Linked DNA regions of Notamacropus eugenii. The protein of the gene in region 4 purifies or fractionates together with the protein of the main gene of each other region. This does not show direct contact. Links are inferred from orthologs where the notes say so. Each region holds a gene or a part of one and is shown on either strand. Other genes may lie near its edges. The genes, in order: LSM3, CCNT1, small nuclear ribonucleoprotein-associated protein N and MEPCE.

Region 1 (7,482 bases), on a different chromosome or scaffold from region 4:
TTCATATTTCTTCTTGGCTCTGACTCCTGCCTTCTTTGATGCACCGCCTCGGGGACCCCCAGGGTCACTGCTCTTCTTTTTCCTTTTCCCACTAGCGACTCGGGGGACACGAGTGTTCTTTGGCTTCTGATCTTCAAAGACAGCTGTTTGAGGGAGGAAGGAGAAGGCAAGGGCGCGTGGGGGCGGGGAGGGATTGGTAAGGACAGTCAAACTGCTGCCCTAAATTGTTTCCTTGTCTCTAACCTTTCCCCAGCCCATCACGGTATTTCCACAGCCACAGGGACCCACCTTGTGCACAAGCATTAGACTCCTCGAGGACAGGGACTATCATTTGCCTCTTTTTGCACAGAGCTTAGCACATAGTAGGTGCTCTTAATGTTTATTGATCAATTGAAAAAAACAAGCTGATGCTCATTTCCCTGACATAGGACTGATGACCAAATGTACCAATATTGCTTAGAAGTGCTCAGCACACAGTGCCTGGCACCTAATGGGTGCTCTGTAAACCCGTATTCCCTTCTCTTCATTATCTTCACTCCTTAAACAATCCCCTCCTCCAAACTCCCCTTTTTGTACTGAAGAAGCTGTTTTATTCATCCAAGTTTTCAACACCTGTCCATGCCCCCCCATCAGCCAATCAGTTGTCAAGTCTTGTGAATTCTACTTCCACATCTGTCACATTCATATTTTTTCCATCCTAGTTTGAGGTCTCATCACCTCTCACCGGATTACTTCGGAACTGTTCTCCCTGACCCTACCATCTTTCCTCTCTAATCTATTCTCCATGGGGTTGCCAAATAATTTTCCTAACAAATGGGTGTGACTAGGTCAGGAGAGACAGGTCTGACTCCCCTGCTCAAGAACCTGCAATGGCTCTCTATTGTCTCTAAGATAAAACACAAACTTTTCAGTTTGGCATTAAAACCCTTCACAGTCTGGCTCAAGATGTGCTCCGCATTGGCACCCTTGGGGCATTCTCGATGCCAGCCAAAGTGGCCCACCTGTTGTTCCCTGAACTCAAAATTCTCCCTCTCCCTATCTCGCCTCCTGTAATCTCTCCCTGAGACTCCCCCGGCTTCCTTTGGGTGTGCCTCCTAAGGAAAGCCCTTCCTGACTACTCTAAGCACTTCAGTTCTCCTTAAAGTCCTCGGGTTAGGTGGAGTTTATTTGGGCCAAAGGCACATATCCTTAGGGCAGGGGACTGACTCCCTTCTGTAGGCACACAGCAGATGCCTGCTGAACGAATATGTGTTAAATTAATAAGTTTGAGAAACAGCCTGGGAATGAGGATTTCTACTTCAGGATCTGGCCCTAAGCCACTGGACTAGGTTAGAGGTATTTCAGTCTTTCCATCCTGAAAATAAGGATGTTACCTCTTCCAAAGGTATCAATGACCTCTGAACCATTCTTTGAGTTAGCAAAAGTGACCCTGTGTATGTCATGTCTGCCTCGGGGCTGGAGATAGTCCTGAAAGTGCAGAAAAGCCGTAAGCCCCTCTGTTCTCAGTGATGGTTCCATGGACCAGAAGGACCCCTGACTACAACAGCTACATTGACAGTTGTAAGAAGAACATAAAATCTAGAGAAGAACTGGGAAGCAAACAGAGGCGCCCTGATATGAACAAGAAAATGAAAATGAAGACATTCCGGGGCTGTTGATTTGTGTCTTCTTACTGACAAAAAAAGCACTGCCCTTGTTTACACTTGAGGAGGATGTGGCTGGGATCCCGCTGGGAGCATCTGCTGCTTTTCTGACCGGGGACCAAACTTCTCTAACTGGCAGGACTCAGGGGAGATCTGATCACAGCTCTGAGGACCACTTCCGGTGACTTCTTCCTCAGTCAGACCACAACTCATTCAGAGGAGCCTGACTTAAGTGCTTGTATAGGCTAGGCCTTGGCCACTTCCTTTGTACCCTCAGTGATACAGTGTATTTCTTGTAAGCACTTTGTTTTGTTTTTTTAAAACTGAATTAGAACAGAAATCTAGCATTCTTCTAGAAGGGACAACAGGTCAAATCCTGGCTTGAACACATCCTTGCTCTGAGACAAGAGGCAAACCTACTTAACATCTCTAAACCTGTTTCCTTATTTATAGAATGCATATAAACATAAAATGTATATGCCAGGCTGAATTTCCTACCTCAGAGCTGTCACTATAGTTAGAATTTGTAAGTAAAAATCTCAAAATAAGTGGCACAATTTAAGCTTTGCAAATACTATGCAACATAAGCTTACTGGGGATTCTACATTCTTTGGGGTAATAGAAAATGAACCTGTCATGCTATGGGACAACTTTCCAGATAACTGGCATAGTGTGCCAGGGCTATAAAGGGCCTTAAGATTCATCCAGTTCAACCCTTTTTTTAAAACAAGTAATGACATCTTTCAATCCATACTTTCTACCACTGCAAGATTGATTTTTCTCATATAAAGATACGATCAGGCTGCTGTTCTGTCCCCAAATACTTCAATGACTCCCTATTATGTGCCAAAGTCCAGATTCCCTGGTCTAGTACTCAAGGTCCTGAAGGCTGTGGCACTACTCACTAACTATTCAGCTTTATTTCACAATACTCCTCTCTTCAAACTCTATGCCCCCACCCCCTGCCAAAATGGAGGACTACTCCCCCAATACATTGTTTTTGCTTTTTCCCAACTCTGGAGGTAACTTTTCTCAAACAGTTTCCTACATGTTATTGTCTCCCACCTCCAATCTCAATCTGCAAAAATGCTACATATCTTTCAAGACCTGCATCAAACTTTTCCAGCCTCTAAGAAAAACATTCCTTGATGATGCCTGTTGAAAACGAACTTTCCTTCTTTGGATGTGGCATTTGCTTATGTTTTATTTTGAATTACAATGAACAGAATCATGAATCTCAGAGACTGAAGAGCTGGAACCTCAGTCCAACCTGATCGCATTAGTGTGGAATTTCCCCCTAGCGGAATGTAAATTCCTTCAGGGCCATGACCTTCCCTTCTCTGGGGCTGAGGACACAGAGAACACCTCCTAACAAGTATTTGTGGAACTGAATGAACACTGAGGCTCAGCCATCCTTTAGTGCCTTAATCCAACAATCAGTCAATTGACAACCATTTATATTTAAATGTCAGCTTTGTGCCGGCTCAGGGGCCACAGAAGAAAATATGAAACTGCACCATCTCCTGCGTGAAGCATTTCTTGATCCTCCAAACTGCTGCTGCCCTCCCTCTCAAACAATCTCTTACTTAATAAATCTGGGCATAAATGGGGATGTATTCCTTAAATTTATCTTGACACTGTCCACATTTTTTATACGCACTTGTTGCCTTCTCCATTAGAAGGTACACTGTTCACTTGTAATGCCTGCCTCTAGAACAGGGTCCAGCTTAGTAAAAACCTGTCTGACTGACTTATAATAACGACGATAGCTAACACTTACATAAACACTTACATAATACATGTGTCAGGAACCATGTCACACATTTTTAAATTAATATCTCATTTGACTGATTATCACAACAAGGAGAGGGAGATGCTATTATTACTCCCCACTTTACAAGATAAGGAAACTGAGGCAAACAGCTTAAGTGACTTGCACAAGGTTACACAGCTAGTGTCAGGACTGGTTTGAACTCAATTTTCCTGACTCCAAGCCTAGCACTCTATCCACTGGGCCAAAGGAACTTACACTACACTCTTGGATAGATGAATGGATAAATGGATAGACAGACACAGACACAGATGAGACAGATGGACGGATGGAAGGATGGATGGATAAACGGATACACAGATGCAAATGGGACAGATAGATGGATGGATATGGAGATGGACAGATATTTAGGTGGATGATAAATATTTAAGTAGATGGAGAGATATTCTACTGGATGGGTGGATGAAAAGGACATAAAATGGATAAAGGAATAGCTATTGAGAGATGGTGGATGGAGTGTATATACATATACACAAAAAGAATGCAAAGTAACTTCAGGGAAGGTGGCTTCTGAGCTGTGCTTTGAAGGAAACTCGAGCACCTGAGGGACAGCAGAGATGTAGGGAGTGCATGCCAGGCCTGGGGGACAACCTAGGCAAAGGCTCGGAGGCGGGAGACGGAGCGTCACGTGGGCGGCTCAGCCAGAGTTCTCACCCCCGCCAGTCACACACCCCCCAGCCCGAGGAGACGCCAAGCCCACCGCCCCGCCCGGTCCCCCCACTCACCGGGCTCCGCTTCCTGGGTCCGGGCCTTCTTGGGGCGCCGCTGCTCCTCGCAGGACGCCCGCTTTCGGGCCATGCTGCACGGTCTAGCCCAGGAACAAGCCCGGGCAGCGGCTCAGGCGCGGGGCGGGGGCGGGGCACTAATCCTCCCCGGGCGGCTAAAGCCACGCCCCCTCTCCGACCTCCGCAGACAGACCCGAGGTGGAAGTGAAATCCACTAGGCGAGCGCAGGGAACCGCAAGGAGCAAAGCGTTCCTTACGTACTTCCGGTAACAGCAACCCTTTCTCTGCACGCCTCCCGGGCATTCGTCATCACGTTTGCTCTCGCTGATAGGCTGGCTGCCGCGAGAGCGTATACGTCATCTCGCGAGAAGCGGGAAAAGCAACCGGATTTGAAACATGGCGGACGATGCGGATCAGGTACGTTGCTGGAGAGCCTCCCTTTCCTCTGGGCTATTTCAGGATGCTTTTTGGAGCAGCCCTTTGCTCCTTCTTCCCGGATCCCGTCAAATCTTCCCTCCCCGCCAACCCTACCGAGAAATTCTGTAGTAACGGGGATTCTCTGAAAGTCTTGGGCTCCGAGTGGAGAAAGCCACGCCCTCCTCCGCTTTGTCACTGGCTGGCTGAGCTGTCTGTCACCTTCCGGCTAGCCAGCCGGAGTTTTCATTGGCTAGTCTTCTGGTCGTTGGCTGGACCGCCTCCTCCTGATTTACGGCTCAGCCAGCCAATGAGGGAGGACAAGTCTGTCCTGCCCTCCCTATCCCCGCCCCGAGTCCGCAGCCCTGGGAGGCTTGGCTTTAGCGTCCCAGAAGCCCCTTCCCCTGGCGTGCCCGCGGAGTCCCCCAGCCCACGCCGGTCCAGCCTGCCTCGGGTGGACAGGCTTTCTTGCTCCTTACCTCTCGTCTCCGTCTATTCCTTTGGAAAGCTTCCTTCTGCACGTTTGTAGTGACAAGGGTCTTGGGGGTGCTCGTTAATCATTATGCCCTTTGACCTCCCTCCTAACGATAAGAATAGCATGTGTGAGGGGTTTAGCGTGTGCAAAGCTGATTTTACAAGTGCTGTCTCATGTGATCCTCACAACAACCTGGGGGGGCGTTGTTATCCCCATTTGACCGCTGAGCCGACTCAGGCGGGCAGACGTGCAGTGACTTGCCCAGGGTCACACAGTGAGTGTCTTCCTCCCCAGCTCTTCCCTTCTCATCTGCAAGTCCCTTCCATTTTCAGCTTTAGTTGCCACTTGTCTCTGTATCTAAAGCCCAGCCAGATAAAGGGGACAAATACGTTTTCCCCATCCCACCACTCTTTTACAACCATCAGGCCCTCCGTTGCTGAAAATGTGACATTCTGCACAGCACCCTTAAACGTTTGCTATCTCTGAAGTGTTCTAGCCTGGCTGTGCTGCCTGCCCTGGGAGCCCTAAACAACCTTCAGGTGACAGTACTTTTGCCAGGCTGGCTTCTTGTAAAGAGGAGTTAAGGAATTCATTTTTAATGGAGTAACCTCTTGTAAGCTAGGTCAGGTGGAAACTGTAAGTGAAGAAATAATTGCCTTAGTGTCGGTTCTACAAAGAGCAGGTGGGTAATGTGCTGGAGCTCTTCTGGTGGGTGTGCATCATTGCAGTTTTTGTTTTTAACAGCAACAGACCACCAACACTGTGGAGGAGCCGCTGGATCTCATCAGGCTCAGTCTGGATGAGCGAATTTATGTAAAAATGAGAAATGACCGAGAACTACGAGGAAGATTGCATGTGAGTGAAGCGTTTCGAATCTGGGGCACACTGCAGATGGGGTTTGTGATTTCATCAGTAAAAAAAACTGAAAATGGGGGAACCCCCTCTATCAGTGCAACTCGGTGCCTTCTTTGCCAGCATCACAGAGATGTTAAGTCATTTGCTCGGGTCACAGTAGGTATGTGTGTCTGAGGGGGCACTTAAATCAGTTTCTGAGTCCAAGACCATCTGTCTACCATACTGACCTGTGTCTCAGTAGGCTTTGTAGTTTCCTCTAGAACATAGATCACATTAATGAGATCCACAGGAATTCTTTTCTATTTGACTTTGACACCACTGGTTTAAGGAACTGTGCTGAGGTTACAATATCGTGCCTGCCCCAGGGGGCATCCATTCTACTCGAAGGATCCAACATGTACATCAGTAATTATAAATAAGGTGTGAAGGGAGGCAGCGAGATCAGACCTTGGGTCTATTTTGTGTGGCCTGATGTGTGTGTCCCAAATTCTCTCCCTCATCTAACTGGGAGCAGAAGGGGCTTTTGCTTTTGTCTTTGCATCAGAAGTGTGTAGCACATAACAGGCACTTAAAAGATAATTAATTAGAAGTTAATTACAATATTCTAGAGTATTTGAGGAAGGAGAGAACCTTCGCATGTGAAGATGTCAGGAAACACTTCAGGGGGGGAAGGGATACCTGCTCTGAAAGAAGATGAGAGGTTTTGTTTGCCAATTGAGGGCCTGAGTTTGAATCCTGATTATACCTCTTATACTTGTGTGACTTAAGGCAAGACATTGGAACTTCTCTGGGCCCCATTTTTTTTGTCTATGAAGTGAGGACATTGTACAAGATGACCCCTAAGATTCTTTATGATTCTCAAGTCTTTAAGTTTACTAAGTAAGGAATCAGAAAGGTCAGTTGGTCAGTAAACATTTTTTAAGCACCCACTATGTGCCAGGCATTGTGCTAAGCTCTGGGGATACAAAAAGACCCATCCCTGACCTCAAGGAATTCAGAATCTAAATAGGGAGAAAACAAGCAGACCAGTATGTACAAACAAGCTATTTATACTGGATAAATAGGAAGTAAAAGAGGGAAGTTGCTGGGATTAAGAGGGCTTGGGAAAGGCTTACTGTAGAAGATGGGATTTTAGTTGGGACTTAAAGGATGCTAGAGAGGTCAGAAGGTGGAGCAGAGGAGGAATAGTATTCCAAGCTTGGTGGACAGCCAGGGAGAATGCCCAGAGATGGAGAGTCTTGTTTGTGGAATGTCCAGGAGGCCAGTGTCACAGGATTGAAGAGCACGTGGTGGGGAGTAAGTTGTAAGAAGACTGGAAAGGTGGGAGGGGGCTGATGATAAAGAACTTTGAATGCCAAACAGCATTTTCTATTTGGGGTTGGAGGTAATGGAGCTGTTGGAGTTTATTGAGTACGGGTGATGGTGATGTGGTTGGACCTGTAGGGGAGAGAGAAATAGTGAGGAGTCCAGAATGACTCCTAGGTTGTGAGCCTGGGTATGGGAAGGTAGAAGTGGGGAGGGTTCAGGGGGAAAGATAAT
Region 2 (6,999 bases), on a different chromosome or scaffold from region 4:
AATTACATAATACATTATATTTATACTATAAATAATATATTATAGTATAAATATATAACAAATTATAATATATAATTTATATATAAGAATATATATATGCACATATATATATAAAAGATAAATAATAAGATCAGGTACAGTAAGTACCAATTGTTTACACTTCTACATCAAAGGAGATATTTATAAAGCACTTAGCAAGTGCCTGGCACACAGTCCATGCTTAATAAATGCCTGTTTCTGTTCCCTCCTCCATCCTTTGTTAAAACCATACTTACATTCCGATGGAACTGTGTAAAAGACTGGACCATGTAGAATCGGTGCATGTACACAATAGCAGTGTTGATGGTCAGTTGGGAGCTAAGAGATCTAAGTTAAGTGAAAATGAAGACAGGCACAGACCCAAGTTCCTACAAACACAACAACCTTTTGCCTTTCTCAAAGACCATAAAGTATGAAAATAATTTCTTCTGAATGAAAATATAATCTATCAATGAAATCACAGGTCCTGGGTACACATGAAAGATTAGGTTAGGATTATACAATGTGTTCCTGGGGGAAAAATAAAACAAAGAAAAACTGCTCTAAAGACCTATAAAAGCATAGCATCAAACGTGATATATTTATGAAATGCTGGGATAGTAAAGCACTCCTGACTCTTTTCATGCCATCTTAAGAATCCCCTTTCTGGCCCCTGTTTTCTCTTTTCAAAAATGAAGGGGCTGAACTTTTATGTGATCAATAAGATTCTTGCAAGCTATAAACCAATAACCCTATGACTTACAGGTCTTTCCAATGTCTACTGGCAAACTAAAAGTATTTCTTTAAATTTTTTATTTCAGTTAATTGTAGTTATATTACACTGCAAGCTTGAGGTGAGAAAGACCTTATACTTTTTTCCTATCATTCAAAAGGCCTAGCAAGATTCTGTGTACACGGTAAAATTCAAATATCTGTTCAATGAAGTAGCAGATAAGATTTTTTATTCTTAGTTAGTCAGTCTTGGCTTTTTTAACAACAGGTAAGCCACTTAGTCTCTTGGTGTCCCCAGCACCTCTATGATCATCAACCTCACTTTCTCCTTCAGAGTCATCTGGGCCTAGTGGCATGACACAGATCAGAAAGACTGGAGAAGGCCCTGGATGCAAGTTAGAGATGTTGACCTTTTTTCTTTAGAACTACAGATTCCAGCCAAACAATCAAGAACCTCATATGCACAATGCAGAAGGAACTGTTGATCTTTGTCTCTGACAAACACACAGATAATAACTGTTACTAGCAACTTCATTGCTGAATATAATATATATCACCATGCTTTAAACAACTTAGAATCTAGTCTTTTATGTGTATCAAAATAGAGATTCACAGTACTGGAATCACATCTTCACCTCCTCTAATTCTCTATAACCTTTATTTTGTGGGTTCCATTCATCTGACTATTTTGATATATTCCCCTACAAGGGAGAAAATTTTTCAAACTGAAATGTCTAATATCCTAAACAATAAGTTTTTAAGGAGTTTATAACTTTTTTGCACCAACAAAGATATCTTGATCCAGAACAAAGGAATGCTCCCAATGAAACAATTGTTAATGTAGATAACTAAAAAAAATTTCTGTATCAAGTCAAGCAGCAGTTGTTGATGTATTTACCTCCGCTAAAATTACATCTTGGAGCACAAAGAACTTAAAGTTATGTAGTTCAACCTTATAACAGAAGCACAAATTCCCCTACTAGATAGCAAACTCCCAGGCTCTTTGTTTTGTGTATCCGTTTTTCCCACCTACCGGAGGTTGAATTTGAAATCAGGTCTCTGACTCCAAGATCAAACTCTTTATTTGCTTTAACGGAAAATAAAGATTTTTTTTTTCATCCAGACCCCCTAGAAATCTATCTCAGGTTAAGAACTTCTATCCTAGACCATCCAGTTCAAATCTATCAGTACCAGTAGACTGAAAGGAATTCAGTATAGGTAATATTGTTTTAATCCACCCTCAGGGTCCTTGTATAAGCTATAGTATTAATAAAAAAACAACAACAACAAAAACCTTTAAAGCCAACAAACATTTTCTAAAATGTTAGTCCAGATTTGGTCTTGAGTTTAAATGAAGATCATCACCAACTCAGTTATGTGACCATTTCTACTACTGGAAGTGTAGGCACAATGACAAAACTAGAAAAGGTTAATTCAGGAAACCCCAGTGTTTCTTAGTCAGGTCACTACCTAAAGCACTTGGAGGTTAAATTCCAGTAAACCACTGTAAGCAATTCCTGCTTAACAATTCCACAACCCATCCGAGTCTCCATTCTCCCTGCCTCACCCTTCGACACGTCTTCAACAAAAGGTAGAAAGCAGGTGAAGCTTTGGAAACACTTCTCTTAGCCCCTTTGGGATAGAAGCAGGCCAGTTCTCCAAGGCTGAGTACGGGAAGGCCGTACAAAGTTAAAAAAAAAAAAAAAGCTGTCAGGAAAAAGGCTAACACTGGGCCGAGAAAGGACACTGAGTCCGGGAACTGCACTCACTGCGCTGAGAGTAGATGCCGGTGGCCGTGAAGCGGGAAATGACTCCACTTCACCTCCCCCCACGGAAACAGTGTCCTAATCCTGCCCATGCCGACAGCCTGGGCCCACTCAGCGGTCCCAGAGCCCCGAAAAGAAAGAGACGCTAGGCCCCGCTCCCAGTCTCCCAGTTCCTCAGTCCCTGACCGAATCCAGAACCCGAGGCCCAGCGGAGCGATCCCGAGGCTAGGCCGCGGCGCGGCGAGAAGGATACACGTTGAGACGCTGCCCCATATCCTGAAGGAGATTGGCTGCTTGCTGCCGGCAATAGAGTTCTTTGTCCGGGTCGATGCCGGCGCGACGGGACGGGCTCTTTTCCAACTGTTCCCGGGTGAAGTACCAGCGCTTGGCCGAAGCTCCCTCCATAGTGCTTCACCCAGGCGGTGGCGGCGGCAGCAGCGGCAAGCACGTCCCGGCGTCAACTGCGCAGCGACGTACATCCGCTGGGAGACGTCCGAGCGCGCGATGACGCACATCCGATTCCGTGGCCCGGGGGGGCCCCCCCTCAAGGAGGCAGGGGCGGAGCTAGAGGCGGGTACTTCCGCCGAACTCCTCCCCTCGACCTCGGACCAGGGCGATAACCTCACGTGGATTGGCTGGTTCCAGGGCGCAGGTCTGCGGGAGGTGGTGTTTAGCGGTGGGTTGTTAGGAGATCCCGCCCCAAGTCCGGGTCTCCGCGCGAGAAAGAATTTGGGGAGGAGCGACGGTTGTGGCGCGTTCGCGCCTTCCCGGGGGGGGGGGGGGGGGGGGGGGGAGAAGGGTGGAGTTTTTCTCGCTGGGAATGAGGCGGATGTGGGAGGGAGGGAGCGAGCAAGGGTCAGGATTAGCTTGATGATTGTTAATTGTTTGTAATGGTTTTCCACTACGAGTTAACTGCGAGCCGGGGAACCTGAGGACTCTGGAGGATGACACGTTGGGGGCCCCGCCCTTTCCTGAGGGTTTTCGCACGAGGGGGCCTTAAGGGACCTGGAAGCGACGTCCTTTAGAAAAAGGGCGGTGGGTCAGCACCTTCTGGGTTGTAGAATTGAAACCTAGAAAGGGCTTTAGGAATCCAACTCTTCTTCGTGAAGGTCACTCGGGTCATCCACATAGTGGAATCGGGATTCGAACCCAGTGGTCTCGGGCTCGTGTCACCCACGCGGCCCACGCATGGATGCGGCAGAGGAGGAAAGAGTGGCCGAGCTAGTAGGGTCATGTTTTAAAATGTGAATTTTAGTAATGACAGTACAAACCTTGAGAGAGTGATGCCGGGATTTGGGGTAGGGTGTATTCCCTCCTAACAGAGCTGGGGCAGAGGACAAGGTGATGAACAGTGTTGAATGCTGCTTTTTATAAATACAGGTTTATAATAAGAAATGGCATTCTTCTTAATCTAGAGGTATTTATTTTCTGATGTCAAATGGAATGTGTCATTATGCTTTTGGAGGGATCCGTGGTGCAGCTCACCAGATTGGCCCAAGGTTGTCAAATGCCTTGTTTGCAAATCTGTCATTTAAAGTGGTTTAAGAATAGAATCTAGTAGGGACTTGAATGATCGCCTTTAGCCACAGGCCCAGGAAAGCAAAATGACGTATTTGAGAAGGAAAAAAATCAGGTGGGGTGTGCTGGAGCCAACCAGAACCAGAGTTGATTGTTAAAATTTCAGTGTATTTACACCTTAAGACATTGGAAAACTATAAATGGGATCTCATTGTTTTGTTAATTGTCTAAACATAAGAAAGTGATGGCAGAAATGTAGAATAAATGTGCAAGTATCATTTCATTTTTTCCCCTAGAAAGCCCTGTGATTGAACATTTATGCTTCCTCACATTATCCTATGCAGTTTTCAGGCACAATCAGAAATACTGAAACAGGGGCTTTAAGTCAAGGGTTTCTGTTCCCTTCATCTCCATTCTATTCAGAAAGTTATTGTTGCTGTTAAGTAGTGCCCAACTCTTTGTGAGCCTATTTGGTCTTCTTGGCGACCTGTACAGCAATACAGGGAGTGGAGATGGAATGTCATATCAGGTAAAGCAAGGCTAGTTTGGCTTGCAGAATGAATGAAAAAGATTTACTAAGTTTCCTATGTGCCAAGCACTGTGTAAGCACTGAGAATACAAATGGAAAGTCAAGGCAGTTCTGCTCTCAAGGAGCTCATTCTCTAATCAGATGAGGCATAATATGGGAGTCAACTTTAAGGCAAGTGGAAAGGTCCAGAAGTGCTAAGGATAAAATGAATGGGCAGATGGCAATGTCCAGGAATATTTAAGGTACGTTGACAAGTCATAAAGAAGTTTTAGGAGGGGAAGGGGAGCTAGGATTTGTCCTCCATCTTACTGGAAAGATTCTAACAGTTCATTTGCTATGATCACATCCACTGTGCAGGTCAGGGGGCCTCAATGGTTCTGGACTACTACCTACCACTGGGAATAGATAAGGGGTTAAGTGAAACTGGGATTCTGGATTCCCTCCAGCAGTGATGGAGATAGAGCTAGCTGGTGGTCAATCTTTAGCCAAAAAGGGTGACAGGGAAGGGAATGCCCTGTAGTACATGATCTGAAGGTCTGTAAATGTCAAACAGGATATTGCATTTGATCATAAAGGTAATGGAAACCCACTGGAGCTTACTGAGCTGGCCAGGGAGAGGGGGCAGCAAGGGAAGGGGGATTGACATGGCCTGACTAATGTTTTAGGAATATTACTTTGGAAGTTGTGTAGAGAATAGATTGGAAAAATGGATTGAAAAAAATAGAAATTTGAGGAAAGGGAGAGATTGGGAGAGTAAAAAGTAGGCTATTACAAATAGGTGAGAGCCTGAACTAGAGTAGCAACCACGTGAGTGGAGAAGGGAATGTCCACAAGAAATGTAATAGAAGAATCAGCAAGACTTGGGAACTGAATGAATATGGGAGGGTAGGTGATGGAAGGTAAGGAGTTGAAGATCAATCAGTAGATCAGCAAATTCTGGACCAGGCTAAGTAAGAGGTAGCAGGTTGCAAATCTGGGTAAAAATGAGAATAGTGGTACCCTTGACAGAAATAAGGAAATTAGGAAGAGGGTTGGGTTTTAGGGGAAAGTTAATGAGTTTTGAGATGCAAATGGGGCAGCCATTTAGAAATATCCAATAAAAGCAGTTGCTGATATGGGACTGAAGTTCAAGAGCAAGAAATACAGATCTGAGAATTCATTGTCTGCAGAGAGATAATATTGAACCCATGGAAACTGATGAGATCACTGAGAGAGAAAGTTGTGTAGAAAGAAAAAATGAGGGCCCAAAATAGAGCCTTAGGGTAACTCATTTGGGGGTCAGAAGCAACCAGACAAGTAGGAGAACCAACAGACAATGCCCTGGAAATCTAGAAAGTAGCTCCTGCATTATCAGTACTGATGAGAGGTCCAAGATGAGGATTTAGAAGAAGCCCTTTTATTTGGCATGTTTATATTTGTGTGTAGGTATGTAACCTCTTTTGAACTAAACTGTGAGCTGTTTGAGGACACCACCACCCAGTGCCCATAGCATACAGTAGCCTATCTACAAGAAATGTTTGTTGAATGAGAAAGCTGAAGGACTGAATAGTAATAATAGTAAGTGGCTTTTTATAACTTTTATAACTCTTACTTAGTACTTTTCTAACAACTGCCTTTGTAGGTAGTAATGAAAGTATCATTACCACCATTTTACCAGTGATAAAAACTGAGGTTCAGGGAAGTTGAGACTTGCACAAGATAACTCAGCTAACAAGAGTCTCACCACCTTTAGGATGATTGTGCCCAGTTCTCCCAGCTGAGGATATCTGAATTTTCTGGTCCTTGGAGTTTTTAATGGGTAAAAGTGTCCAAAGTAACACAACAGGGATCTGCCTGTGTTGGCACCTTTGCCCTAAGCCATGCCACAGAGCTGACCTTATATACCTGTTGGATTTTTCTCTTTACTTTCCATTCTAGCCAAGTCAATCTGTTTTTCCAGCACAGACTTGCTAATTCCTGTTTACCTTTAAAGGCACATTCCTCCTCTGTGGATACGTGCCACCTCTTCTTTACCACTGGTGTCCACAGCCTCCTTTAAAATCCAACTCAAAACATGAGATATATAACATAAATATAAGAAGTCTTCCTAGATTCTATACTCCACTTGCATTACTGCACTTTTGTCATTCTGTACTTGTTGACATATTAATTGATAATTGCTCCCAAGTTATATATGTATATTTGCCACATTAGGATTATAAACTCCCAGGAGACAGAAAATAGAACTTCTAATTCTTTTATATCTTTCTCAAAGTGTCAGTGTAAAGTTCTTCACTTAATGGATACTCAGATTCTTATTTAACTAATCATGGGGGAAGAATTGAATTTACTGAAGAGTTTTTAAGAGGAAATGATTTTTAGATTAAGAAGAAATGACATGAAAATTGAATATAAAGTTATTAATAATAATAACTTCTAATAATAATGCTTCCTTGG
Region 3 (7,545 bases), on a different chromosome or scaffold from region 4:
AAGGACCTAGTCTAAGGTCACATAGCCAGTCACCAGTAGATATAATTTAAAATCCAGCGTTATATAGAGTCAGAGCAGAACTTCAGATAACAAGGATCTTAATAAACACTCAAATTGTACTCCATACCTCTTTTAGCATAAATTACATTCTAAATATTGTATTATAGATGTTTGAATAACTGACATTCCGCCTATTGGGCTATAAGCTCCCTGGGGACAGGATCCAAGTCTTTATTCATCATTATATTTGTTGGAATTCAAAGCACAGTGACTTACACAGAGAACACAGTTAACGTTTATTAAATGTGAAAATCAACTCCCCCTTTAAAAGCCTTATAGTGTAAGAAGCCTTCACCCCAAGATGACCTCATAGAATCACAGCCCTCTGACCGAGAAGCTCACAGAAAAATATATATATTATATAAGATGCTATTTTTGTTGATCTTATAGTACTGAGGCTTCATAAATGTTTGCTAAGTTGAAGTAAATTTACCTCAAAGCATTTCACTCACTAAATAAGAACAACTCATTATGCTTTGGGTAATTTTGCTGAACTGACATTTTTTTCCCGTTTCTTTTTATACTTTGTAACAAACGAAGGTTCCTGGAGGAACGGAAGGGTGAATGACCATATTTGGAAATGAACTTAATGAAAAAAATCAAACAATATATATTAAAAGAAAGACATGAACATATTTCATTCAATGTCATTGTTTGCTGGGAATAAAGATCTGGAACTCAGAAACTACGGGTTTAACAAATAATAAGTAGAAGGGCCCCTTTCTAGATAACTAAGTATTCTCTCCAAAACACACACTTCCTAGGAACCACAGAACCAAAGAGGGCCTGAGTTAGAACAATGAAAAAAGAACATGGATGGAACATTAGAATTACTAGATCAAATTCTATGAGGGGAAGGATTGTGAATGTTAATGTCAGAAAGGACTTTAAAGATCATCTAGTCCAGGCCTGCATAACCTTTGGTCTGACAAAGGATTTCCAGCAGCCGGTGAAAAACGTAGAGAAAAACAACTGTTGTATGTAGAGGAAATCCTTTGGCATGCCTCAAGTTGCCCATGGGCTCTGTCCCAAGGGCTGAAGGTTGTGAAGGCCTGATTTACTCTATTGTCCTCATTTTATAGACAGGGAAACTTGGCCTAGAAATAAATGCCTACAAAAAGTTGCAGTTTATACAGAGCTAGGTGCTCAGAGCTATATGCCTGCAGAAATCTAGCACCTAGATTTCCTGACTCCCTTGCACAGTACCTGGTATATTAAGAACTTAATAAATACTTTATTTAGCTATCATCTATCCCAAGACCAAAGCTCTTCCCACTGTATTGTGCTTCCTTTTATCATTTCCAGGTGATGTGTGCTGGTACACATCTAAGTGTACAATATGTCTGGGCATAAATGTTTCCTCAAAATCCACTAAGGTTGGAGTGCAGTGGGTGGGAGAGGGATGGTGTTCAGGACTAGAACAGAGAAGAGTTTTATGAATGTAAGTATAAGAAGCCTACTTTACCTGCCCTCCCCTCTTCACATCCCAAGCTTCCCAAACCATCCCCCTCCTCACTTGATCTTCCTGAACTCGTCACAGTCACACAGGATCAGGTTCATGTGCTTGTCAAAGGCCTTGAAGGTGCCGATGAAAATGCGGCCATCCTGCAGGATGCACCTCATCCTGTAGTCGATGTGCTGCAGCATCTTGCTGCTCTTGCCCACCGTCTGTGGAAACAGAGAGAGAAAAGTATTGACTCCAGACCCTGGACTGACTAAACACTGCCAGGCGCTCTTTCTACCCCTGTTCCTTTTCCATCAGCTCTCTCTCTTCTCTTCTGAACCAAGATCCGCAGTGCTTCCTCTCCACTGTGAGGTCTTGACCCTTTATCTTTTCCCAAACATCCTAGCCTACACCTCCCCCAATTATATGATTCTGACACCACACAAACACACTCTGGGCTCTTAATCCCTAGGAATGGATCCATCATCTCTGACCCAGTTCTATGATCTTGTCATCCTCCCCACACCCTCCCCCAAACCTCAGACCCCCTTAGTAGTATCCCACATCTCTGGTTTATACCACCTTCTCTCCTCTGACCCCCAGCTGCCTTCTGGCGGGTCAGCCTCCTAAAGGGCGGGTCTGACCACTCCCCGCATGCCCCTCCCCCAGTAAACTCCAGGGGTTCCTTGTTACCTCCAGGATCAAATAAAAAGCCCTCAGACTTTTAAAATTCTTCACCTTAAGCCCCCCCCCCCCGCCCCTGGCCATTTCTCAACAAGACGCCCCATTTCCCTGTTCTGGGCATTTTCGCTGGCCCTTCCTTCATTCCCTCCTGATCTTTTTTTAGTTTTCCTGGCTTTCTTCAAGTCCCTTCTGCAAGGACCTCAGCGCTAGTCCTTCCCCGGTGATCACCTCCCACTTAGCCTGCACAGAGCTCGCACGCACACGGCGGCTCGCTTATGGTCTCCCCCATCACACGGTGAGCTCCTGCGGAGCAGGGTCCGTCTTCTGCCTTTCTTTGTACCTCCAGCGTTTAGCGCCAGACGGAGCACAGAATAAGGACTTCATAAATCTGTGTGGTCTGACTTCACCTCGGCCACTTCAACCACGGAAAACCGGCCAACCCACCCCCCGCCGCCGGCAGGACCCTGACCTCTGACCCCTCCGGTCGCTCGGCCCCGCCTTCGGCAGCGTCCTCACCATCCCCGCGATCCCCGGCCCCGTCCCCGACTCGTCCAGGCCTGTGTCCCAGCCCAGGCCTAGTTTTTCCAGAGATCCCAAGCTTACCATGATGCCGGCTACGAAGTGCCCCGACTTAGAAAAAGGAGCCCCCTTCGGCGGCCGCAAACACGAGGAGCTCCAGAGGAAAGTGCCCGCCCCCTAGCTTCCGGCTGTAACGGAAATTCGAAAAAGACTATAGCCCTTGGAACGGGGAGGACACGTGACCGACCTTGTTTCCCTCAGCCGCCATATTGGGTGAGGGCAGGCGCCCTTTCCCCAGAGCAGAAAGGCTTCTTGGGAACGTTCCAGAACTAGAGGCTTCCCGAAGTGGAGAGCTCTTGTGGGAGCTCTCCAGCAGCGGCCAGCCCCCTGTCTACGAAGGACCGAAGAAGGGAACTCTCTCGTTCCTTTTTCTTGTTTTTTGTATCACCAACTCTTAGAGCAGTGCCTTACCCATAGGAAGCACTTAATAAATGTTTATTGCTGGGTGATATTGATTTTGGAACTGTCACTCTATTGTGAAGATGCCTCCAAGTCTATGTGGTTGCCAGAAATCTATATACGGGATAAATTGGAGAGAATCTCAGAGGGACGGCACTACAAATAAAAGGGAATCAGGAAAGGTTTCCTTGATTATCACTATTATCTTTCACAGAGCTGCCACAATCATCTCAAGGCACAGTTCTGAGCCTGTCTCTTCCCTGACTCCCAAATCTGCAATATTCTCTTATCCCCCCTAATGTTTAATAGAGACTCCTCAACTTTTCATTTAAGGCCCCTCTTAATCTGAGCCCCAATCTTTAAAAAATAGTCTATTTTTAAAAATTAATATTTAGTTTTAACATTTTTAAAATTTTAAATTCTGAATAAGGTCTCTCCTGCCCCTTTCCCAACCACTGAGAAGCCAGATTATGTGATAGCAATTACACATATTAAATAATGTGAAACATATTTCCTTTTAAGCTACTTTTCAAAAAAAGCAAAAAAACCCATAAAATGTTTTAAAAAATTATGCTTCCATCTGTATTCAAATTTCATCAGTTCTCCCTCTGGAGGTCAATATCATTTTTCATCATAAGTCCTTCAGAATTGTTTTGGATCTTTGAGTTCATTGGAATGGCCAAGTCATTCATAGTCAAACAGCATATAGTATTGCTGTTATAGTATTGTGTGTATAATTTTCTTCCAGTTCTGCTAGCTTCACTTTGTACCAGTTCATGTAAATCTTCCCAGGTTTTTCTGAAGGCTTTCTCCTCTTCATTTCTTCTACCACAATAGGATTCCATCACAATCATATACCTCAACTTACGCATTCATTCCCCAATTGATGGGCAACCATCAATTTCCAATTTCTTCACCACCACTAAAATAGCTGCCATAAATATCTGTGTGTATGTGGATATAGATATACATGTAGATATAGATACATAGATATAGATATGTCCTTTTTCTTTTTTCTTTGAGCTCTTTGGGATACAAACTTAGTAGTGATATTTCTGGGTCAAAGGGTATGCACAGTTCTATAGCTCTTTGGATGTAGTTTGATACCAACCTTCCTAACTTTGTTTCACTATATTCTTCCTTCACACATTTTTTTGTGATTGACAGACAGGACTGCTAAGTGTTCTCTGAACTAAACATTCTATCTCTGGCCTAGGGCTCCATATGAACAAGTGGTCCCCAAACACTGAAATGTACTATCTCCATGAGTGCCTCCCATTATATCTATGAAGGTATCCCTTCTACATGGGTGCCCTCTCAAATTCCTACCTACTTTAGGCTCAGCTCAGTTGCCATCTCCTCTGTGAAACCTTCCCTTATGTCCCCAGTTGTCAGTACTCTCTCCTCAATGTAATTGCATTTACTTATCTATGTATGGTAAAGAATATAAGCTCCTGGAGGGCAGAGACTCTTATTTTTGTCCTTCTTTCCACATTGCCTAGCCCAGGGGCTTGACTTAATGTTTAAGAAATGTTTAACTGAATGACTAATCAAGTATTTGTCAGAAATCATATATGTGCCAAAGCACCCAAAAGAAATAAGATATAATCCTTGCATTGGACGTAAAGGCACAAGAAAGCAGTTTAATGCTTGTTATAAAAGTTGTAAATCTGCAAGCTGTTTTTAGGAAAATCATGTCTAACAATTTGCGGTGCTTCAAGTCCCAAGACGAACTGGAGCACTTCACCTTCCTCTCCTCTAAGTTCTAGACCCAGGCTTATGCAGCCCATTTTCAATCCTGAGCAAGCCTAACCAACTAAAAGAAAGGCTGAACTTTTCTTTTCTCATTCTTTCACTCCTTAGGTCCCCACATTGGCACTCCAGGGAAAATTATATATATCTTAGGTTTGGCTCATGTCTTCCAAAGTGTAGAGTAAATAGAAAGGTACCCAATGTACAGTATAAATCAGGGATAAATAGGTATTTTTTTCCTCTGTATGAAAGAAATGCTTAACATACACAAGACTCACAAGCTTACATTGACAGAAAGATTTAAAGTAATATTTGGGATCTATAACTGCTGTTATACTTTCCTAGGAGGTTGAGACTTAAGACCATCAAAATCCAACCGGGCCCTCACTGCAACAAACAAATCTCGTTTTTTGACATTTTGACATTTTATGATTTTATATCTTTTTAATTTATTCACTATCCCACAGCAGCTTTTCCAAACCTTTTCAGCCCTCCTCAAAGCTCCTGTGACTCCTTCTCTCCCCATAGATAAAGTGAGCCAACCTAGCACCCCAAGGGAGAGACAGGAGGTAGAATACGCCAAACAAGTCAAACTACCACTGCCACCTTAATCTATGTCTCCCTTCAGACCTTGACATAGACAGCCCAGAATCCTGAGTCCAAGAGCTTTGCAACTAGCAGTGTTTCCAAGTCATTGCCCATAGCCTGGGAAACAACCTCTATGTAGCCTAGACACAAATACTAAAGACCCAGAAAGAAAAGTCCTTGCTACCAAAGTCCTTGGCAATATCAAATGGTTCAACATCAGAAACAGATAAGATTTTATCAATGGAAATTCCATGAAAGAAGAGGCATTATAATTTGCTTTGCTGTTACACCCTAAGGACCATGGGACCTTTCCATCTGACTTGCCCCTGAAACTTCCCATATGACAGCAGATGTCACAATACTTTGGAATTGTGATCATGGTTATCACTGTGATAATCAAATATTGAGGCAGCTAGGTGGAATCGTGGATTGGAGTCAGGAGACACCTCAGTTCCAATCTAGACTTCCATATTTATTAGTTGTATGATCTCAGGAAAATCTTTTAACCTCCGTCAGCCCCAGTGTCCCCAGCTTCAAAATGGTGATAACCACACCTACCTCCCTTGTTGTAAGGATTAAATGAAATAATATCTGTAAATCTCTTAGTATAGTTCCTAGCACATAGTAAGTATTTAAATGTCTAATTGCTTCCATGATCAGAGTCCTTAAGCTTTTCAAAATAGTTTATCTTTGCAATGTTTTTTATCATTACATAATTTGTTCTTCTGGTTCTGTTCACTTCACTAAATAATAGTAGTTCATACTAGTCTTCCCAGATTTCTGTGAAATCATCTTTTTTAGCATTTCTTACTCTTAATAGTACTCTGCTACATTCAACCCATAATTTGTTTTGCCATTCCCAGTTAATGGCCACTCCTTCAGTATCAAGTTCCTTGCCACCAGAAAAAGAGCTACTATGGGTTTTTTTTAGGTCCTTTTTGATCTTTGGGGTATAGGCCAAATTTTGTTATCATTGAGTCAATAAGTTGAGAAGTTTTGGTAGCATAGTTCCAAATTGCTCACCAGTGGTTTAACCTCTAATTATGAATATAATAGTTTAGAAAAGTCTTTTACAACTAGTGTGGTTGTGCAGAAATATGAAGTGCTACTTGCTAATTAAAGGAATTTATTTAATTAATTATATACTTTGCTTCTATGCCTCATTTGTCTTCTCACTTTGGAAGTTCTCTGGTTTCCTGGGGTCTTCTCACAGAGATTCCCAAACCTATTTGGCCTATGACTCACTTAAAAAAAAAATTACTCATCCCCCCCCATTAGGTTAGATTAACCCTTATTTTTTTCAATGCTCCCCAATTGCACCGGAAGATACTACCACCCCCTGTAAACACCCCCCCCCCCCATCGTTCCAGTGCCCTCTAGAGGATAATATTGCCCACTTTGGGACCTTATGCCAAGAATATCTGTCCACCATGCAGGCCCCATGACCTGCTTCTCCCCTTGATGAGTGCCATCTGGGATCATTGCTTCAAAGATGGCCCAGGATGACCATGCTTTGCTTTTCCATTAGTTTGTAAATTTCTTGATAGTAGAGATTGATTTTTACCCCTTTTTTATATTACTAGATCTTAACACAGTACCTGGCACATAGGTGCTTAATAAATGTTTATTGATTGATTGATTGGCACTGCTTGTGATTCTAAGGACTTCACCATGGCCTGAAACTTTTTCTCCTCCGCCTTTTCATTTTCTTTTACATACTATTTTCACCTATAAGAATGTAAGCCCTTTGGGATCAGGAACTCTTTATTTTTTACTTATATTTGCCACAGTACTTGGCACATAATAAGAAGTTTAATAAATGCTTGTTACCTGCGTACCTATTTGCTAATTAAAATACATACAAAAGCACTTAAGAGAAGAGAAAGATCACTGGAGGCAGCTACTGGGAGAAAACTTCTCTCACCAGTTTTACAGAATGACTTAGGGACCACAAATTTCATGCAAATTTGCCAATTCAGTTCATAAAAGGGAGGGAGAAGGCTGTGGATGGTTTTGCACAAAGGAATGCTAGGCCCTGG
Region 4 (7,106 bases):
TGCCTCACTCTGGCAGAGCAGAGAAAGCACAAGGTAAGAATTAGTAGGGAGAAGGCTGTACCATGGACAAACCACCAGAACTGATTAGTTTTATCAAGAGGGATGTGCAAGGTCACCACAGGGAGAAAGCCCTAGTGTTCAGCCTTGACCCAGTTCCAGTACTTGTCTCCCTCCCACACCAATTTTCCCTGGGGCAAAAAAGCATTGCCCCATGAGGTCTTGGGCAGCCCCTCCAGTCTTTCCCCATTCTCTGTCATCCTTCCCACTTTTTCCCCTCCCCCCCTGCTCCCTGCCCCCCAGTCTTGAGTTTCAAGTGAGTTTTCTTCAGTGTTAAATTTTAACACAACTCAGCAGAATATAAGCTTTGTGAGTTCAAGGACTGTTCAATTTGTTTTTATGTCCCTGGTGCCAGGCAGAAACTACGCACTTAAATGTTGAGACCAAATGAAAATTTAAAAAAATCCCAGTCCCCAAAGCCTAAGCAAGACAGCAAAACTCCCCCACAAACTTGTCAGTTCCCTTTACCCTACTCTACAGAAGGTCTTGACCTGGAAGGTTCAGTTACTATACTTACTACCTGTGACCATGTGCAAGGCACTTAACTACTCTGGGCACTTGATTTCATCTGTAAAATGGAAGGGTTGGACTAATCTAAGGGGACCTTTGGACCTCACAAGTTCTTTCCAGGGCTAAATCTGTAAGTCCCTAAAATATTTCCCTACACCTTTTTGTTTTACTCCTGGGTAATCCACTCGAGTTTTCTAACCAATAACACTCAAACTAATACATTAAAGGAGAAAATTTGACTGCAGGCAGGATTCTAGCTTTCTCATGAAGATAAGGGTTGTTGAGACAGAGGTCTACAGTGGAAAAGCACAATGAATTCTCTGGTCTATCTAACCTGGATAACACAGAAGAAGCATTAGTTCAGATACCTATCACCTAAGAATGGTTCTTGGGACAGCTCTAAGGTCAAGTTTTTGCAGGTTTAAAATGCTCAATGGAATAATCCTAGTCTGTTGAGCAGACTCAGTTAAAGGGTGTAACAGGGAAAAGGAATCCCATTCTCACTGCCCTATAAGCAAGAACCCTGAATTCATGGGGAAGACAGGGTATAGTCATTAAGGTGAGAAGTCAAGGCCCTATCAGCACAGGCCCTAGACCATTTTCAAATGTGAGTTCCCAAGTTGCAAGAATAGTTTTGCTCTTAGCCATAACTACCTCTCCTCCCTCCCCTGTCATGGCACAGTAAACAAGTCTGCAAAAATATCCCTTACTCCAACAGCTACTAGGTCTCCTTACCGTGATGAAGACAACATTGTTGGGAAATATGGAGGCATCAGCCCCATCCAGAGGCACTTGGGGTGCAGCAATGGGGCCCCGACTGGCAGTCAGGGAGGCTGGGAAGCAGCTCTTCTTTCGGGTGGCAGCAGTCCCCTTTCCACCCTCTGGTCCTTGGGCTCCTTCAGGTGGTTGAGGTGCAAGACGAAGTTCCTCAGATAGATAATGTCGGATGTTCTGTCGAGCAGAGTGTATGAGCCGGGCATCGATGTCTACACCCACTACTCGAGCCGGGCCCCACTTGCAAGCAATGCTTAGCGTCAGGTGGCCCACATTGCAGCCTAGGTCCAGCACATCACGGCCCTGGAACCATTCAGGCCTCATCACCCGAAGCCTCCCATCCTCACAATTTGGGTTTCGATAGCCGTAGTACTTGCAATAATTTCCGTACTGGAACTTACTTTGCTGCTTCTTGAAGCCAGCCGCAGGCAGAGGGTGGTCATGATGGCGACTCCCGCCTCTCGCCCGGACTTTCTCCTTAGGGCCCTGGCCACTAGCCCTGGCACCTGACTCAGACTTGCTGGAAGTCCTACGGCGTTTCCGGTGATGTCGGGAGGAAGACAAGGGAGCAGGTGTGGTTGAGGCAGCTGAAGGAGCTGCACGAGTGCCTGGGGGGTCCTGTGGGGCAGGCAGAAGGGGGGACACTACTTCATCCCTACAGTTGATGGCAGTGTTCAGTTCATAAGGCTGGGGGCCATCCCGGCCTTGGGACCTCTGTCGTTGTTGCAGCTGCTGGGGGGTGGTTTCTCCATGCAGCGAGGGAGTTGTGGAAGTTGGGGGAAGCGCAGAGGAGGTGGGATCACTCCCCCCCGGTCCCCCAGTCTGTTGCTGGTGGTGCTGTCCACGATGTCGATGTCTCTTTCTACCAGTCTTGAGTGGTGAGGCTCGAACCACTTGGGCCTCATCAGTGCAGGTATTGAGGCTGAGTGGGTCGGTGATGTCCTTGGGAATGAGGATTTCCACAGGGTCCCTCCCCTTCGCTGGCAGTGGGGAAGACTTGGGAGTCTCAGCATTGAGTGCTCGACTCACCTCCTCATCCAAGAGGCTATTCAGATTCAAAGGATCGAAGATATTGCCCCCCAAGAGAAAATTGGAAGGCAAGACCGGGTCGCAGTCCGAGTTAACTCGCCTACGCCTCTTGAAGGCTGGATGCTTGAAGCCACCCACATTACAGCTATTCCTCCTCTTGTTCCCACCGGTCCCGGGAGGCCTATGGGGCTGGAAGCCATTGCGCTGTCTGGGGGGTGCTGGGGTCCCTACTTCGGCCCCGCCCCAACCCCTTCGCTCCTCCTCCATGTCAGGGGGAGGGGCCTCCCCCTGCGCCATCGGATCTCCACTTCGCCGCGGATTCTGGCCAGCCCTAGCGGGGGACGGGGCCAGAAAGCCCTCCCTGCCTGATATGGTGGGCGTATGTGGGCTTGGTCCCTGTGCTGTCCCGCCACAAAGCTCCCCGGAGGAGGCCTCTCGGTGTGGCTGCACCAGAGTGCCACCGCCACCGCTGGAATCAGCTTTGAGGGGTGGCGGCGGCGGGGCCGGCACGAGGAACGGCTCCTTCTCAGCTGCCATCTCGATCATCTCTTCCCCCCTCCCCCGATTAGGCTAACGAGGGAGATCAGGGGGCCTACACCCCCTCCCTTTTCCCCTCTTCCTCCCCGCCCCTTCTCCCAGTGCGCGCGTAACCCCGCTCTTCCCTTATTCTCTCGCGTCTCCACTAACCCGCGCGAGACCAAAACAAGCTGCCCGCGAGACCCGAACTGAGTAAGAAAACAACGGAGCCTGCGCTTTTTCCTCCACCCCTCCTAACGCGCGCTACCAGACACACTGCGCGTGCGCACTCCACCCCACGCCCCCTGTTGTGCCCGCACCAGGGACAGAACAAACTTAACGGCTAAAGGCTTTTAAAAAAGGGAACCACCGCTTCCAAGTGACACCCCGTTTCCTTCGCAACGATCTCCCTCCCACCCGTATCCTTCGCGCACGCCCACCAACCGTCGGCGTAGGGCCGATGGGAAGAGCTTCCTTCCACCCCGTCCCGGCTCCTGGGACTGAACGTCTGCGGCCTCCGCCTGGCTGCTAGCCCTGCTGCCTTTCTACCCCGCCTCTTTCCTCCTCGAAAGGGCCACGCCTGCGCACTCGCCCTATCAGTCTCGCGCTTCTTGGCGCTGCACGTGCTGGGAGCTACCACTCACCCACCGCTCGGGACTGCAAAGTCGGTTTCTTATCCCTTTAAACAGACTTCCCTCCTCAGCCAAGAGAGGAACATAGCTGCATCCTAGAAGTGGGTAGGGGCGCAGTAAATTAATAATAATGAATTACTTCACACGCACACACACTAGGAGTGCGGGAAAGGGAAAGTGGAAATATGAGATGGATGGTGGAGGGGTTTGGAGTGCAAAGGCCTATATCCCTACGAAAGACCTGTTGTCACTAGAATAAAATTGGTGCCAAGATGTCACCTTAACTCTCACACGTTCTCCTGGCAGAGAAAAGCGGCTAAGAAAAGAAAGGAAACTGAGCTCTGCTGAAATAGCCAAAAGATTGCCTTAGACTTTCCCTAAAATGGAACGACTCGGTTTCTTCACTCTATTCCGTTTCCCTGCCTCCTAGCCAAATTAAAAAGGCCGGAAGGGGTGGGAGGTATCGCGATACTCTCTATTCTTTCCCGCCCACCGTCGCCACCCCGACTGCACCTGCGCGCACAGTCTCCCTTCTCCCTACTCCCCCCACTCTAATTTGCCTCAATCCAATCAAAAGTAACCATCACCACTTAGCAGATTCTTTGCCGTGAAGGAACGTGGCCTCGGCGCCTCTTCACATTGGAAAATGAGCTGTTTGGACCGCCCCCGATTAACGTAACCTCCCATCGACTGGCCAATAGGAGCTCGCGGGGGGGCGGGTTTAGGGAAGGGTCCTTGGGCTGCGAAGAGGGAGGGGTACCGGAGAGGGGCTAATGGCCAGTAATTCGTTGGAAAATAAAGATAAAGTGCAACAGAATTAGAATCAGGATTCGGAAAAGGAAAAAAAACATTATCCATTCCGGGGCAGAGAACAAGCCATAATGTCAAAAGAACCCTCCCAATTATAATCAGGCGCTGCTCCTAATAACTAAAAGTTGTGACTACGGCAGAATGGGGTATGCCGGGAATTGTAGTTTTTGTAATCGCCCGGGGTGGAAGACTTGGCATGCGCCTCCCGAAGGCTCTTCCGCCTCTCCGCTTTAAACGCTTCGCCTTTGCCGTCTAGTCTCCGCGCGTGCTCAGTGAGGTAGAAGTTCGAACGCCGGAGAACTGGGCTGGCGCCCGAGCGGCCGGGCTCTTCTTTGGTGGGACAGGCGGACGGAGGTGGGGGACCGCGAGCTCGCCGGCTGTTGCCACCTGTTGTTTGTTCCTTCCCCAGTCCCAACCTTAGCTCCCCCGGTTCCTGACGCCTGGCGCGAGCCCTGGCTTCCCTCCCTCTCTCCCCGCCCCGGGCGCCAGCAGCTGAAGCCCCGGCTGTTACGGAGGCCTTAGCGCGCCTCCGGTGACCGCCCGAGCATTTGGAGGTGGACCGAAGGCACCCCTTAGCCCTGCCCCTGCCCCCCCAAAGCACTTCGCGGGAAGGGATGATTGATCCTAAGAAAGGCCTGTCAGGATCTGAAGGCTGGTGGGGAAGGAGTCCGGCCAACCCCAGGCGGGAGGGGGGAGGGGAGAGCTCGTCTGCACTTGGATCTCGAGCGAGGAAAGGGGCGTTTGTATTCGATTTTTCCGTCCTCGAACCCTGGGAGCGCTTCGTGGGCGGCGCTGCAGGGCGTGGGGTGACGGAAAATGCATCTGGGATCTGCGAAGGAAGTCAGCCTCCCGATGGCCAGCCTGGCATTTGCGGGCGGCAGAGCGCTTGACGTAGGCTGCCTGCTTTGCCGCTCGCCACGTCCGTGGGAGGACGAGAGCTTTATTACCCTAGTTTGACGGAGGAGGGACGAAGACCAAGCTGGTAAACGGCTCAGGGGGGTTTGAACTCCATTTTTCTGACTCCAAGTCGAACACCTTTGTCCACCCTAGCTATATATACGCTGTTGACTAGCATTCGGACAGTAATAGTGTATTTATAGAGCCCTTTGCAAATGTCTCAGCCTTACAGCCCTGGGAGGTAGGTGAGGTATGTATATGTGAGATATTATCACCCACATATATCTATATACACATATGCATATGTATACACACATATATATAGGGATGTGTATTATACTAGTCCTTAAAGCTTAAAATTATACTAAGATTTTGGGGATTGTATATATGTACGTATAATATAGGCAAACACGTGTAAAAACACCTATGTATGTATTTACATATATACATATAGAGGTGAGGATAGTATCAGTTGCTGATTTGAAAGCTGCAGTGACACTAAGGAAAGGAGAGTGGAAGGAAAACCTTTGAAGCAATATTTGGAGAGATGTCAATGGATTTTAAGGCATAATTAACTGAGAAAAGGCTTGGTTAGCATTTTGCGTCATAGTCAATTGGCAACAAACATTTATTGAGTACTAGACATTGTGTTAAGCTCTGGGAATGAAAAAAAAAGCAAAAACAGCCCCTGATGTCAAGGAGCATACATTCTACTTGGAGAGTCAGCGTGCAAATAACTATGTTTATACAAGACATACATGTATATGATATATACAGAACTGAACCATGGTATATACATACCATGTATATGGTGTAAATGAACAGAATTAGACATTTAAGATAGGGTCAATGTAGGAATTTGTTTTGCAAATTGGTATGTATGTGTTATAAGGGTTTTACTGTTTTTCTGTCGGTGTGTGGAAATAGTGTTAGTTTGTCAAAAAGAAAAATGTCATTGAAATAGAAAAGAATAGAAAGAAAGCTAGAAGGAGAAAACACTGACAAGTAGGACAGTTTTGAAGATTACATGTTGAATTTATTATATATTTTTAAAAAAACGTTTGTAATAGAGATTTATAATTTCATGTACCATCCTCCTTGTTGTGTTCATGGTCATAGGATCGTAAGATTTAGAGCTGGAAGTCATGGAATATAAGTCCCTAATTTTATGGCTGAGAAAACTGAAACCCAGAGAGATTAGGTGGCTCACACAGCTAGGGTCTGAGGCAGGATTCCAAATAAAGAAGGTTTTTCCAATCTGAGGGAAGTTCTCTGTAAGCTCAAAATGTTCATTTTATTTGGTGTTTGTTAAGTTCAGTATTTTAAAAATTAAATTAAATTGAAAAGATTTTTAAAAATAAATTTTAAAAGATTTAAATAAAAAATAAATAAAATTAATTAAATAGAAAATTTAAAAATTGAAGACTGGTCATATTTTGGAGCTTCCTTGGGCAGTCAAGACCAAGTCCTAATACATTCCCAGTAGATAGATTTACTAGAGTCTGTTATCAGTTTTCTGCCCTATAACCTTTATTTCCTTGCTGTCTTGAATGTGTTTCCTCTCCAGGTTTTAACTGAGTAGGTGGTAGTTTCTCTGAAAGTGTAGGTAGCCACTTATGAAATGTGTCCAAAGGTAAATGGAGGAGAGAGAGAAAATGAAATCTGACATTCCATTTTGTAGTATAGAATATCCATGACCTCAAAATTTTAGAACCCCACCATGTTTAACTTATACAACAAATTCAGTCCGCTGAAGGGACCACAACTCAAAACTTTTCCTGCTCAATAAAATCTGCCAAAGCTAATACTCTACTGACATAACCTTCATCAGCTTAGGTCAACTCCACATTTTGATGAAGTATCAGAATAGAGCTTGTACCT

What was found.
Region 1: the proteins of MEPCE (region 4) and LSM3 purify together in Homo sapiens (affinity purification with mass spectrometry; 3 studies listed by BioGRID and IntAct, with this or other methods). This does not show direct contact. The link is inferred for Notamacropus eugenii from reciprocal best matches to the Homo sapiens genes MEPCE and LSM3.
Region 2: the proteins of MEPCE (region 4) and CCNT1 purify together in Homo sapiens (affinity purification with mass spectrometry; 3 studies listed by BioGRID and IntAct, with this or other methods). This does not show direct contact. The link is inferred for Notamacropus eugenii from reciprocal best matches to the Homo sapiens genes MEPCE and CCNT1.
Region 3: the proteins of MEPCE (region 4) and small nuclear ribonucleoprotein-associated protein N purify together in Homo sapiens (affinity purification with mass spectrometry; 3 studies listed by BioGRID and IntAct, counting the BioPlex papers as one, with this or other methods). This does not show direct contact. The link is inferred for Notamacropus eugenii from reciprocal best matches to the Homo sapiens genes MEPCE and SNRPN.

The regions. Positions count from the first base shown.
Region 1 is NC_092874.1:429,469,185-429,476,666, forward strand, and holds the start of LSM3 (U6 snRNA-associated Sm-like protein LSm3), read left to right. Parts: upstream 1-4,470; 5' UTR 4,471-4,595; coding exon 4,596-4,616; intron 4,617-5,832; coding exon 5,833-5,943; intron 5,944-7,482. Other genes in the region: XPC (DNA repair protein complementing XP-C cells), read right to left, coding at 1-143, 4,200-4,272. UniProt on the Homo sapiens protein: Plays a role in pre-mRNA splicing as component of the U4/U6-U5 tri-snRNP complex that is involved in spliceosome assembly, and as component of the precatalytic spliceosome (spliceosome B complex).
Region 2 is NC_092874.1:220,497,926-220,504,924, forward strand, and holds the start of CCNT1 (cyclin-T1), read right to left. Parts: upstream 3,007-6,999; 5' UTR 2,922-3,006; coding exon 2,770-2,921; intron 358-2,769; coding exon 276-357; intron 1-275. Other genes in the region: SPMIP11 (sperm microtubule inner protein 11), read left to right, coding at 3,021-3,192. UniProt on the Homo sapiens protein: Regulatory subunit of the cyclin-dependent kinase pair (CDK9/cyclin-T1) complex, also called positive transcription elongation factor B (P-TEFb), which facilitates the transition from abortive to productive elongation by phosphorylating the CTD (C-terminal domain) of the large subunit of RNA polymerase II (RNA Pol II).
Region 3 is NC_092872.1:476,050,252-476,057,796, reverse strand, and holds the start of small nuclear ribonucleoprotein-associated protein N, read right to left. Parts: upstream 3,009-7,545; 5' UTR 2,795-3,008; coding exon 2,792-2,794; intron 1,729-2,791; coding exon 1,577-1,728; intron 1-1,576.
Region 4 is NC_092873.1:80,472,971-80,480,076, forward strand, and holds the start of MEPCE (7SK snRNA methylphosphate capping enzyme), read right to left. Parts: upstream 3,013-7,106; 5' UTR 2,917-3,012; coding exon 1,303-2,916; intron 1-1,302. UniProt on the Homo sapiens protein: S-adenosyl-L-methionine-dependent methyltransferase that adds a methylphosphate cap at the 5'-end of 7SK snRNA (7SK RNA), leading to stabilize it.